Coturnix japonica: one gene and its partners. The protein of the gene in region 1 purifies or fractionates together with the protein of each later gene. This does not show direct contact. Links are inferred from orthologs where the notes say so. Each region holds a gene or a part of one and is shown on either strand. Other genes may lie near its edges.

Region 1 (4,001 bases):
AAACTGCAGCCTGTACAAGTGTTAGTACTTAAGCATTAGTACTTTTACATACATGTAGATGTTCCACATAATGGATCTTTCATTGCTTCTACAAGAAGATGTCAAGCCCTTTACCCACGTTTTCCACTCCTTCATCACTTCCCAATATTTCTAGCTGAAATTCTTTACAAACTTTGCCTTCGGAAACGAGAAGTTTCTCTATTATCCACTCGCTAAATTTCTAAAGATGCCCCAACAACTCCAGCTGTGCTTGTTCACACACTCGGGTGAATCACCCCTTGGGGCACGTTTTGTTCTCAAAACCCCGCCGTTCCTACGCAAAGGCGATGCAGCAAAACCAGCTGTGGTCACTGCGATGCTGACCACCTCATTGTCTGCTCGCACTCTGCCATCTACCTGTACCGAACCGCCTTTGTTACACACTCCGGACATGTGCTCTTTGTTCTGTTTGCGCAGCATCCTGCAAAATGGCACCCTGCCCTGTGCCCGGGGCTGCTGCGTGCGGAGATAGCGCAGGTACACGACCGCTGTGCGCCACAGCACACAGCACACAGCAGTGTTTGAAGCGCAGTACTGCACATGGATACAGGCAGCATCGTGGGGCGGACAGGCCGGGTCGCACCGGAGGTTTCTAAGCAGAACCCCACTTAGCGCTCGGTTGGTTCCGCACAGCTCGGCCTGCACGGTATCTTCGGGAGCAGAGCGAAGCAGGATTACCACGGGAAAAGCCCGTTCCTAAGGGCAGAGCTGCACGGGCTGTACAAACACCTCACCTCTCTCTCGGAGGCCGTACCCCGGGCTCAGCCCTTCTGCAGGCGGCCGAGGGCTGCTCTCCACACCGACTGACGGCGGCCCGGCCCCGCACAGCCGCGCTCTGCCCGGCAGCGGCCTCCGCCCCGCGCTGGGCCTCTGCGAGCCGAACGCCGCGGCCCCGTTCCCGTCAGCCGGACAATGGCCGCAGGACGCCCCGCCGCTGCCGGCCCCGGGCACGGCCGCGCCGCCTCCTCTCCCCTGTCGTCTCCTCTCGTCTCCTTTCCCCTCCCCTACGGCCGCCCCCAGCAGCCCCCGCGTTGCCCCGGTCCCGCCGCCTCCCGGCCCGCAGCGCCCGATCCCCGGCGCTCTCCAGCCGCGAACCTGCCGCCGTGCGCGGCCCGCCGGGCTCCGCGGCCTGCGGGCGGCCGCTGGTTGGCGGCGGGGGGACACGTGAGGGAGGAGGGGGCAGCGGCGGCGGCAGGAGTTTCCCCGACAGCTGGAGGTTGCGGCGGTGGCTCCTCCTCCGCGGGTCCCCGTTAGAGGCGAGAGACCCCCGCGCTCCTCCTTATTGACAAATACACAAAGGGCCGCGCCGGGGCCGGGCCGGGGACGCGTGTGGAGGCGGCATGGGAGACAAGAAGAGCCCGACCAGGTAGGGCAGCGCCGCCGCCTTCCCGGGGCCCGCTCGGGTGCGCGGGGCCGGCGGCGATGGCGCCCGGGGGGGGGGCCGGTGTCGGGCGGCGCGCCCCGACCGTGCCCCGCGTGTGCTGTGTCTCCGCAGGCCGAAGCGGCAGCCGAAACCCTCCTCGGACGAGGGCTACTGGGACTGCAGCGTCTGCACCTTCCGCAACAGCGCCGAGGCCTTCAAGTGCATGATGTGCGACGTGAGAAAGGGCACCTCCACACGGTGAGTCCCCGCCGGCGGCCCCCGGTTCGCGAGGCGGCGGCCCTGACGGTAGCGGGGCCGCGTTCGGCGGGGGGGGGAACCGGGCCGGGCCGGGGGGTTCCCTCCCCACAGCGATCCGTGCACCAGCGGCGTCCCACGAGGAGCTGCTCTATGCCAGCCGTCAGAAGGTGCACGGTGACCTACCTGCTCCCTGCCCCTCCTGACACCGGGCCAGCGGGGGCTTCACACGGCCAGCGGGAGTGCTGGCCGGGGAGAGCATTATTAAAGGATCCTTTGTTAGTGTATGGAGCTTATGGCTTAATGCTGTCAGCCGGAGAAGTTTGAGTGGCAATAAAAGTTGCGATCCTATGATGAGCAGCAATTGCGTTTTAGATAGCATTCATAACAGCGCTGAATGTGACTCGCAGCAAACGTTACACATTTGTAAGTGCAGATGCGTGGTGAGAATGATGCGTCTCTATTTCTGAAGTTGATTTCCTGGAGTTCTGCGAACTGGAGCATGTGTCGGAAGTGCTCATAACTTCAGCTTCGAATATGTATATGTGTATATCATAAATAAGGCAATCAGTGAGGTAAATGTGCCGAGAGGAATTGCATCTGTCACATACAGCGTGCTTTCCAGCGATAAGTGTGGCGTTCTGTTGTATCGCAGGTAGATGTGCTCCAGCTGGTCACGTTCAGCAAAATAAAGGGATGATTGTAAGTTTGGGAAGGCAGCACGGCTGGAGGCTGCAGCCATCCTCAGCCTCCGGCCAGTCTGATAGACAAAGTGACTTCAGATTCCACTGATCCTGAAACTCAGTTGATGAAAGCACTAAGACGAAACAAACAATCAAGCAGGTCCTGAGATACCTGTGTCACCATTGCTTTTTTCCCCCTCCTTCTTGAATACTTTATAGGTTTTGGACTGTGACATAAATTGAACGTATTTTAGGAACGATTATTTTTTCTTTCCTCTTTCTCCCTCACAGCGTTGTGATATGCAGAGTTTTAGCTGATACCGTCATTTTTATTTCTCTGCTTAAACTCTGAAGTGATGGGGTTTGTGGATGTCATTTTCCCATTCAGTTTAAATGGGTCATGTTTTCATGTAGGTGCAAAGTCTGGGGTTATCAGATAGATGTTGGGGGGTGGGGTGGGCTCGAATGGGCAGTTTTAGGTCCAGCTCTGAGCTGAGATGTGAGCTGGTGAGTAGACCTTTGTATCTATGGAGAGAAGAATCCTTAGGGTGCCAAGGAGACACAAAAGGCTGTTTGGGTGGATTGATTGATTGATTGATTTAAAGGAAATGAAGTCCAAGGCACCAAATTGGGGCCCTATTAAACCATTTAGTCGTACCACCCTTAGAATTAGACATTTTTGTTGGCGTTGTTCACAGTCACAATACCGTGCAGTTCTGATGGCACTGGGAATGTTGGGGGATTTTTTTGTCTTCCATTTTGAATCTTAATGTTTGTATGTATGAAGCCGATGCCTCAGCACAGTTCTTAAGTGTGCATTGGTTCTTACTTCCAAATTCCTGCTTTTTTCTTCTTTAAATCAATGAAATCTATGTCTACTAGACATAGTAGCCCCTATGTGATGTAAGCAGTGATGTAAAGCACCTTTTTTTAGTTCAGAGAAATCTGTTTCTTTGTGATGAACTGTTTGATGTCTGCTTCTGAGTGTTAAAATTCTCTAAATGTGAACAGATTTGCAGATAGAGAACCAGGCAATCACAGTCAAGTGAAATGCTTTTGAAGGCCACTGCAAATTAGGTTAAGTTGATTGTAACTCGCGTGTTTTTATGCTAATTGTGTACAATTAATTTCACAGAATCTTACTCAGGTGCAAATTTAGAGTCAGATTTATGTGTGTTTTTACTGTTGAACCATTTTCCTCTCTCCAGAAGAATAACCTTTGATGCTAAGGGCAACATATGGATTATGAACTTTAAAACTGGTGGCGTTGTTAAGGGTAGTGGGAATAATTCTTACGACTCCTCAGTCATATTTTATTATACTTCTGGAGGGAGCTCTCAGTCATGGACTTGAATTAACTTGTTCCATGGTAGTGTCACCGTGGATGATTAAACCAGGTTGTTCTTGGACAGGAGACATCCAAGAGAAATCCTGGATGCAGCAAGAAGGGACATAACAGACTCCCAAGGTGGCACTGTTTTCTTTGGGTTTATAATGAACCAGTGCCCAGCATGGAGCCAGTTAGATGTGCTGTGAGTCAGGTGGGAAGCTGACATCCCATCTGCCGGTTGGAAATCCCTGTGTGTTTTGCTGTTTGCTCGACTGAAGACCTAAATTTTCCTGTAGACATGGCTTTCTTATTTACTTTCTAGACTAAATTG
Region 2 (4,208 bases), on another chromosome or scaffold:
GCTTCAAACCCCCAACAAGCTCCATCCTAAAATGGCTCAGGTTTTGAGACGCTCACCTTCCCTCTCCCTATCCCTACCAATGCAGCACAGGCCACTCACCCACCCAACACCACCACCCTCCATCAGCCAGGCAGGAGCCGACGGGCACCAACACACTTCAGCAACCCCCAAGCCGAGCTCTGGGCAGGGATGAGAGCTGCACAGCACCATCAAGCAAAGCCCCGGCGAGCCGCGATGCACGGCACTGACAGCAGCGGGGCTGTGAATTGCAGAGAGCTCCCCCGGGTGAGCAGCAGCCCCGCAGAGCCCCGCGCTGAGCTTTGGGTTGCGGCAGTTCAAAGTTGGTGCGACGCAGACAAAGGGATGCAGCCAGATGGGGGCCGAGCACAGTGAAACGCTGCATAACTGGGACAGCAGCACGGAGGGAGGGAAGGGAAGAGGGAAAAGAGAAAAGGGAAAGAGCTTTTCCCATCTGAGCGCGCTGCACGAGTCCGGCACATCCCTCTGCAGCACGAGAGCAGGAGGACGCAGCTGCTGGTACCGGGAGCGCTGCGCGGCACGGCTGGCCAGGGGGCACTGTGGGCGGCCGGCAGGATGCACTTTGACCCTGGAAACACACCCAGGGAGACACCTTTGGAACACGATCCGGGAGAGGAGCAAAATGCTACTTTTTGCCACCCCGATGACTCAAAAACGTAAAGCAGTCCTGGATGGGGGGAACCCAGGCGGGACTCGCTGCCTGCGCTGCGCTCACCGCGAGCTGCTGCCGCCAATGAGAGCCAGAGCAGAGGGGCTGCCCCTCGGTGGGGCACGGAAGGGCCGGGAGGAAGCGATGTGCATCCACAGGGATGGCCTCACTCACTCCGGAGAGTTTGTTCACTTTGGCAATCTTCGTTGCCATTAGAAACAGGGGCGAGAAATTGTATTTGTTTTTAGCTGCGATCGTCAGGCATCCATTTGAGGTGCAGAGGTCCGGAGCCAAAGCTGCCCCCGACACCCCAGAGGGGATTCAGCCCTGAGCAGGAGCTCAGAAAAAAAACCCTTTCCAGAGGACTGCGTGCAAAAAGAATGTTAAAAGTAAAACCAATCGTGACGGTCATCTCTACGTGGGGCATCCAGGGGAAAAAAAATAGGTGAGAAAAGCAACAAATTGCAGCAGCAGCAGCGTGGCACCAGCAGCCAGCAGGGATCGGCCCCAACCCGGCTCGGTGGGCACAAAGTACTGAGTGCAGCCCCGACCCCGCCGTGTTTGGGATCCCCCCGGGGCTGCGTGGAGCCCCGGAGCGCTGCGGTGCTGAGCCAGGCTTTGCCCAACGCATTTGCTTAAGCTGCTTTAAAGACACAGCAGCACCGCGAGTAATTATAGATACTCGGCGCGATGAATTGGGAAGGAAAAGGGGGAAAAAAAATAAAAAATAAAGAGAGGAAAAAGAGAAAATCCATCCTCGGGTGGAATAAAAATAAAGTTTGCTGCACGTCGGTTCCTGCAAGACACGGACAACAGCGAGCATCGCGCCGCACCCGCGGCAGGAGCGGGTCTTTAAAGGGACGGGGAGAGAAAACGGCACGAAGGGGGTGGGGGATATCTGCAAAGAGACGTTAACAGGCCCACGTTGTGCACGGCGCGGAGAGCGGGGAGCAGCCCGGCCCTGCAGCGCGGAGCCGCGGCCTCGGGGAGAGCCGACGCGGTGACAGCGATGCGGGACGCGGGGATGGCGGCGCTCGGGGGCCGCGCGGGGCGACGTCCCGGCCGTGTCCCCGCCGAGAACGGCGCTCGTTGGGAGCGGATGCTCGGAGGGAGCACGAACGGTGGTGCCCTTCCCCGAGGGCTGCGCTCGGGCGAGGAAGGCGGGGAGAGCCCTCCGAGCGGCGCTCGGGATGCCGGCCGCACACACGGCGCCGGAGCTCCGCGCAGCCCTCCCGGCAGGAAGCGCCGCTCCGGTCCCGCCGCCGCCGCGCACCTCGGGCACGGCCCCTCCCGCCCGGAGCCGCGGGGCCGCAGCGGGGGCAGCGCCGAGGCTCGGCCCCCACCCGCCCCACCCCGCACCGCCCCGCACCGCCCCGCTGCTGGGGGGGAGCAGGGAGGGAGGGGGGGTCCGCCCGGGCACCCCTCGGCCCAGACCCCGCCGCCGTTCAACAGTTGTTCCGCGGGGCAGCCCCGGACGTGGGGCGCTGTCCCCGGGGAGGGCCCTTCCGCCACCGAGCGGGGCCGACACCGGGACTTTCCTCCGCGGCGGGCGCGGGCCACGCCGCCAAACTCCGCGCGGAGCGGCCGCCGTCCCACCGCCACCGACCGCACCGCACCGCGAGCGCCGCGCCCCGCCCCGCTCGGCCCCGGGACCCCCCGGCAGCGGCAGGTGCCGCCGGTGCCGGTGTCGGTGTCGGTGCCGGAGCCTCCGCGCGGGGTCGGGCAGCGGCACGCGGCGCCGTCGCGGGGCACACGGAACGGAGCGGCACCGGCACCGCCGCTGTCACCGCGCGCCGCCCCCGCCCGCCGTCCGAGCGGGACGCCGCCTCCCCCCCGCACCGCCCCCCCCCAGGCCGGTACCCCCCCCCACCGCCCGCCGTCCCGGGACCGGTTTTCCATGGAGACCCCCGTCCGAGGGCCGCTCGGGGCCGTCCGCTCGCCGCCGTCCGCCCGGCCCCGGCGGTGGGTGCGGAGCGACCGGGCCCGGGGTTACCCGTGAGAGCGGGGCCGGGCGTCCGGAGCGGGGCGGCGGAGCCGGAGAGACGGAGGAGGGGAAGGGGGGGGGGGGGGGGCGGTTGTGTGGCCGGGCGCGCACCTGTTTCCCTCGACGAGGCGGACGGCGGAGCGGGGAGCGCGGCGGGGCGAGGCGGGCCCCTGCCCGGAGCGGGCGGCGGATCGGACCGCGGCGCGGCGAGCGGCGGTTCGGCGGCGGCGGAGACACTGGCAGCGGCAGCCGGAGTGTGAGGGCGAGAGCGAGCCGCCGCCGCCGCGGGGGATGACGGGAGCCGTAGTCCGCCCGCCGCGCCCCGCCGCCCGCCGCGCCGCCCCGCGGACTGCAGCTCCCGGCGTGCCCCGCGCCCGCCCTGCCCGCGATGGGGGGGGGGGCGCTGTGCGGAGCCGGCCGAGTCCGGAGAGAGGGAACGGGCGGCGGGAGGGAGCGAGCCGGGAGGAGGGGGAACGAGCACGGCACGGCACGAGGGGGGAGGAGGGAGCGGGAGGAGGGACGGAGATCGGGGGGGGCTGAGGGGGGGGGGGTCACTCCCCGGCTGGGAGGGGCCGCTCCGCACCCACGGGCGGGTGGAGGCGCGGGGGAAGCGCACGCACAGCGCGCACCGCACACCCGCACCGAGCCGGGGCACCGGTGCCCGCACCCGCAGGGGGAGGGAGCGGGGGGTGGGTGCGGGGAGGGAGGAGGAGGAGGAGGAGGAGCGGGCGGAGGCCGGGAGCTGCACAGCGGGCAGTGCTGGACGGGCACACGGCGAGCGCGGAACCCGCACCGCTCCGCTCCGCTCCGCACCGCGCACCTCCGCCGCCCGCAGCCCCGCGGCGGAACGGGCGTGGAGTGTCCGAGCGGCCCCGCCCCGCCCCGCCCCGCCGGGACGACGTGGGCTCGGGCAGCGCGGCCCCGGGGCGGCGGCGGACATGGCGCTCGGGTGTCGCCCCCCGCCCCACCCGGGGTTCGCCCCGCGGAGGTCCCCGCTGTTCCCCGGCCCCGCGGCAGCGCCGTGCGGGAGAACGGCGGAAAGGACGGCGGCGGCGGGGCGGTGCGGAGCGCCTCGCGGTGTGCGAGGACCGAGAGAGGAGGAGGAGGGCGGCCGAGGCCTCGGGGCTGCGCTCTGCTACTCGGGAGGGCACTGAGCCCGAGAAGGCCCGGAGGGAGGGAACTGCTCCCGCGGGGTGGGATGACGCGGGTTCTGCCCCGCACCGCAACACCCCGCCGCCTCCGGGCCGTGCGCGGCCCCGTGCGCTGCGGCCGAACGGAGCCGGGACTCCAGGTTGGGAGGCCGGAGCTGCCCCCGCGCTCCCGAAGCGCTGCCCTATTTGCGTGGCGGTGCCGTTAACGCCGTCGCGGTTTGCGGCTCTCCGTCCCGCAGCGCTCGGGGTGCGTGGGGCGGCCCCCAGCAGAGCTCTGCTCCCGCTGCCTGGCGCTGGAATTGGCCCACGCTTCGGTATCTCCGGGCTGGGAGAATCGACACCCGGGAGCTCGGCGCTGCTGAAAAATTCCGCGGCTCTTCCGCAT
Region 3 (4,214 bases), about 97 Mb from region 1:
TGGGGGCATTCATCAACTATGCCATGTTATTCACCACATCTTGCAGACCGTTAGAGCGCTCGATAGGTGACACAGCAGAACCGCGGGCCATTAATGCGGTTCATCTTTCTTCCCTCAAACAGGATTTTACATATATGCAAAGGCTTCTGAAAACGGGTTACACAGTTCTTCAGTTAAGACCTCATACACTTTCTCCCTACCCTGTCCCAGTGTTCAAGCATGCTTAACATGTCACCTACAACCTGAGCCGGATTACTGCTCCTCCAAATTCAGTTTATTACTTCTTGATCTGCTCTTAGAAGACACTGAAAACACCTATTCGTTCCCACCTGTAGCATCTTCTTCCATTTCTGAAGTTTGTTGTTGCGCATGTTATTCCTCCCTTAACTACTCCCCTCCTACAGCAAAATGGATCTCTCCAATTAGGTTCTTTCTTAGATGCCTTACCCCCATTATGTCCCCACACACATTATACGACACCGATCTAACTTCCAGGTGCCAGTCCTTCACTCAGCCCATCTCCTTCCAAATGGCAGTACGAAATGGATGTATCCTAACATATGAATTACTCTGAGCTGCCGCTTATTTCACCTCCTCTTCCACCCCTCCTCTTCCATTTTTTTCCCTGCTCGTACAGCCCTTCATTCCCTGAACTCTGCTATCTGTAGCGCACTTGAACGCCCTTATCTTTTACAGGCGAGCGTGCAGTGACTACGTATTTCTGGTTGCGTTTCTGCACACCGAGATACTTTCCATATGCTTCTGAACTCCTAAAATTCCCTACAAGATTAATTTGTTAAACCAATCACTATTTCACAGTAATTCTCACTCTCCGAAAGCTACAACAGTTCACACAATAACGTAACCTGCTGTTTAGAACTGGAATTGCTTTGTGACTTGTTTGCTATTTTGTTGTCCTTTTTGGGGGGGGTGGGGGGGAGATGCATTCAAGTTTGAATACAGAGCTCTCCATTCTCTCCTTCTCAATATAGAACCGTGGCAGTCCAATTACATTAGCTACAAGCAATGAAATAGATCTGAAAGGCGGAACCTGTTCAAATGGTTCTTAAAAGAATACTGGAATGGATAAGAGCAAAGGTGTTTCTGAGGCCTGCCTCAAGGCCACCAGTCATGGCAAGGATGGCAGTGGAAGTGTATGCTGCAAGCTCCCAATGCTTGCTTTTACAAGCAGTAATCAGCATCTTTGAATGGACAGGGAAGAAAGAGTGAGGAGATAAGGAGGCTTTGCTACCCCGAACACACCAAGCAGCAGAGGCAGCACCAGCCAGCAGTGACACTCAGCTGGTGACTTCTGGAGATAACAGGACAGAGCCACCAACCACCCCAGCATCTGAACGGTGTATTCTAGGGCTTTCTGAACCCACGTCAAAGCCAACCTGGGGTGGTGTTCAATGTGAACACATCTAATGCCAATGACCAGAGAGCTTTTATGACGACAGTAGATTCCAAGGGCTACTTTGAGGAACCTGCTGCAGACCTGAAGCTGGTTTGGGGTCGGACCATCCATATAGTGAAGCACAGCCCAGGCCTGGGGTACAGCACAGTCAGGTTCACACGTTTGCACTGCCAGCTATACCAGAGCCTGACCTGCTTTGCTTCCGTTAGCAAAAACAAAAGCAAAAATATGCTATTAGCTATGCCCCTGCATGTGATGCGCTATAAATATACTTACATCTTTTGCCATGTTACCCCAGCCTAGCAGGCAATCCTCTTACAATCCTGCTGCCTGCGGGACGCTGGGACGACGATGCTATTCTCTAGAAAGCAAACACAACCACCATCAGTCAGCTCTCCACAATGAGACGAGGCAAACTTTGCACCGCCCCGATTCCCGTTGTGCTTCAGAACAGAACCCTATGGGAGAGCGCAAAGTTCCCCCCCATGCCCCGTTCTATCGAAGCGACGCCCCCGCTCACAGCCAGCACGTGGGAGCGACGCCCCGCCGCCCACCCTCACGGCTTGTGGTGGGGGTTGCACGGCACGCTCGGGCGGGCCCCATCCCGTCGGCGGGCACACGCAGGCCTCTGGGCCGCCCCCCTCCCTTCCCGCCCGCAGCCGGAGACCGCAGCCGCCGGGGCCTCCGCTCAGCGGCGGGTGGCCACGCCGATGGCGGCTCCGCGGGCGCCTCCCATCCTTCCCTCCGTATCCTGGGGCCGCAGCCGCTCGCACCTGAGCGGCCCAATGCGGAGATCGCCGGCTCCATCCCCCGCCGCCGCTGTCCCCCCAGCCCGTGTCCCGGCGCCGAGCTGCCGCTGCGGAGGCGCCCGACTGCACATGTGCGGCGGGCGGGCGGCGCGCGCGGGCCCGCGAGCCCGGCGGGAGGGGGCAGGGGCGGAGGGAGGGAGCGGGCGCCCAACGGCCGCAATGTGTGTGTATATATGGGGGGGGGCGGCTGGACGCGCTCCGTGCCGGCACGGCGGGGTGTGGGGGGGCGGCGTGCGGGCTGTCACCGTGCGGCCAGAGCACACCTGCACGGGGGGCGGCAGCGGGGAAAGGGGGGGGGGGGGGGGGGTGAACTAAAGCGGCTGTCCCTGCCCGCGATCCCACCGTCCGCTTTCTCTCTCTTCCCTTTCGTTCTATTCCCCGTGGGGATTTGGGGGGGGGGACAGCGCCGGTGAACCGGGGAATGAGGGGGAGCCCGAAAAAAAAAAATTGAAACTTACACTTTTGTGCGTCCCACCGGCGTGACGCTGCGCGCTGACGTCACGGGGTGTAGCGTGCCTTGCACGGGCACACGCGGAGCGCAGCAGCCAACCGGCCGGCACGGCGGGGGCGGAGGGAGCATGCGCGGGATTTTCGCGCTTTCCGACTCCCCGCCCTGCAACGCTGGCGGCGGGAAGCGGCGGCGCCAGGTTGATGTTCGGGCGGGCACGTGGTGTGCGGCCATCAGTGCGGTGACCGGCACATGGCGGGTGGGGATGGGCACAGCTGGGGAGCACGGCAGCCATGGAGGCATCGTCCCTGGAGGTGTCATCATCATCACAGTATCACAGTCTGGTGCGGGTTGGAAGGGACCTTAGAGATCATCGAGTCGAACCCCCGGGATTCGAGTCTCTGTGTAGCAGAGCGGCACTTCTACCACTTGCGCCACAGGGGGATTCGAACCCAGCGCCTTTGGTGTTGCAACGCGGCATTCCTACCACTGCGCCACCGGGGTACGCGGTGTTGAGGAGCTGTGTGGATGTGGCACTGAGAGATGTGGTCAGCAGGCATGGGCTCATAGTTGGACTGGATGGTAGAATCATAGAGCCATAGAATGGCCTGGGTTGAAAAGGACCACAATGATCATCTGGTTTCAACCCCCCTGCTATGTGCAGGGTCACCAACCACCAGACCAGGCTGCCCAGAGCCACATCCAGCCAGCCCTCCAGGGATGGGGCATCCACAACCACCTGTTCCAGTGCGTCACAACCCTCTGTGTGAAAAACTTCCTCCTCTGTGTCTGCCCCACTCATTGCTGTGGGTACCACGGCCACGCATTGCCCTGCACTGATAGCCGCCATGGCCCCATCTCCCCATCCTTCCTTCCTTGTGGGACATGGTAGCAGCAGCTTCTCTGCAAACAAGAATTGAGCACGTTTCAGAATGAGAACAGATTACAACTCCAAACGTCAGTTTGCTGCGACTCCACAGCGGACACAGATATGAGGAGAACGTGTTTTAACTAACCTGCAATCAGAAACCTGCCAGAGAACGTGCACAGGGACCCATTCTGATTGTTGGAAATTGAAGCCAAGCCATCTTAAGAGAGGGACCTGTGAGAGCTCCTTAAATACAGCCCTCATACCAGCTGATAAGCTTGTCAGCATTTGGCCTCCTTGGGTGGAACTATCTCCCAATTCTCAAATTTCTGCTCTATTTTAAGAAATAAAAATACAGCTTGCCACTGTAACCCTAAGAGTTTTGCCATTCCCTGATGTAGGTTGTATCCCCCAAGGCAGGATCAGCTGTCCATAGGCACTCCGGTCACTTGATTGTCCAGTTTGTCCTTTATCTGCAGAAATTGGGATTTCTTAGTCTCTCTTGGTGGCTCACCGTCCCTACCATCAAGAAGCCTCTCCCCACTGGCAGTAGTAATTACTCAATGGAGTCTGTGGGAGATCCAAAGAAACACGCTTCCTGCTCCGTGAAGCTGGTAGGCCTGTATCTTTATCTTCTGCCTGTTGTTTCCTTCAGGGCAGGGTGGGCTGCAT

What was found.
Region 2: the proteins of YAF2 (region 1) and BCORL1 purify together in Homo sapiens (affinity purification with mass spectrometry; 5 studies listed by BioGRID and IntAct, counting the BioPlex papers as one, with this or other methods). This does not show direct contact. The link is inferred for Coturnix japonica from reciprocal best matches to the Homo sapiens genes YAF2 and BCORL1.
Region 3: the proteins of YAF2 (region 1) and TFDP1 purify together in Homo sapiens (affinity purification with mass spectrometry; 3 studies listed by BioGRID and IntAct, counting the BioPlex papers as one, with this or other methods). This does not show direct contact. The link is inferred for Coturnix japonica from reciprocal best matches to the Homo sapiens genes YAF2 and TFDP1.

The regions. Positions count from the first base shown.
Region 1 is NC_029516.1:26,706,527-26,710,527, reverse strand, and holds the start of YAF2 (YY1-associated factor 2), read left to right. Parts: upstream 1-1,201; 5' UTR 1,202-1,379; coding exon 1,380-1,405; intron 1,406-1,534; coding exon 1,535-1,660; intron 1,661-4,001. UniProt on the Homo sapiens protein: Binds to MYC and inhibits MYC-mediated transactivation. Also binds to MYCN and enhances MYCN-dependent transcriptional activation. Increases calpain 2-mediated proteolysis of YY1 in vitro.
Region 2 is NC_029519.1:1,564,698-1,568,905, forward strand, and holds the start of BCORL1 (BCL-6 corepressor-like protein 1), read right to left. Parts: upstream 2,801-4,208; 5' UTR 2,784-2,800; intron 2,684-2,783; coding exon of another isoform or gene 2,157-2,683; intron 2,019-2,156; coding exon of another isoform or gene 1,698-2,018; intron 1-1,697. Other genes in the region: translation initiation factor IF-2-like, read left to right, coding at 1,698-2,018, 2,157-2,683, 2,801-3,212. UniProt on the Homo sapiens protein: Transcriptional corepressor. May specifically inhibit gene expression when recruited to promoter regions by sequence-specific DNA-binding proteins such as BCL6.
Region 3 is NC_029516.1:123,726,482-123,730,695, forward strand, and holds the start of TFDP1 (transcription factor Dp-1), read right to left. Parts: upstream 2,801-4,214; 5' UTR 2,685-2,800; intron 2,319-2,684; exon of another isoform or gene 2,191-2,318; intron 1,779-2,190; 5' UTR 1,706-1,778; coding exon 1,694-1,705; intron 1-1,693. UniProt on the Homo sapiens protein: Can stimulate E2F-dependent transcription.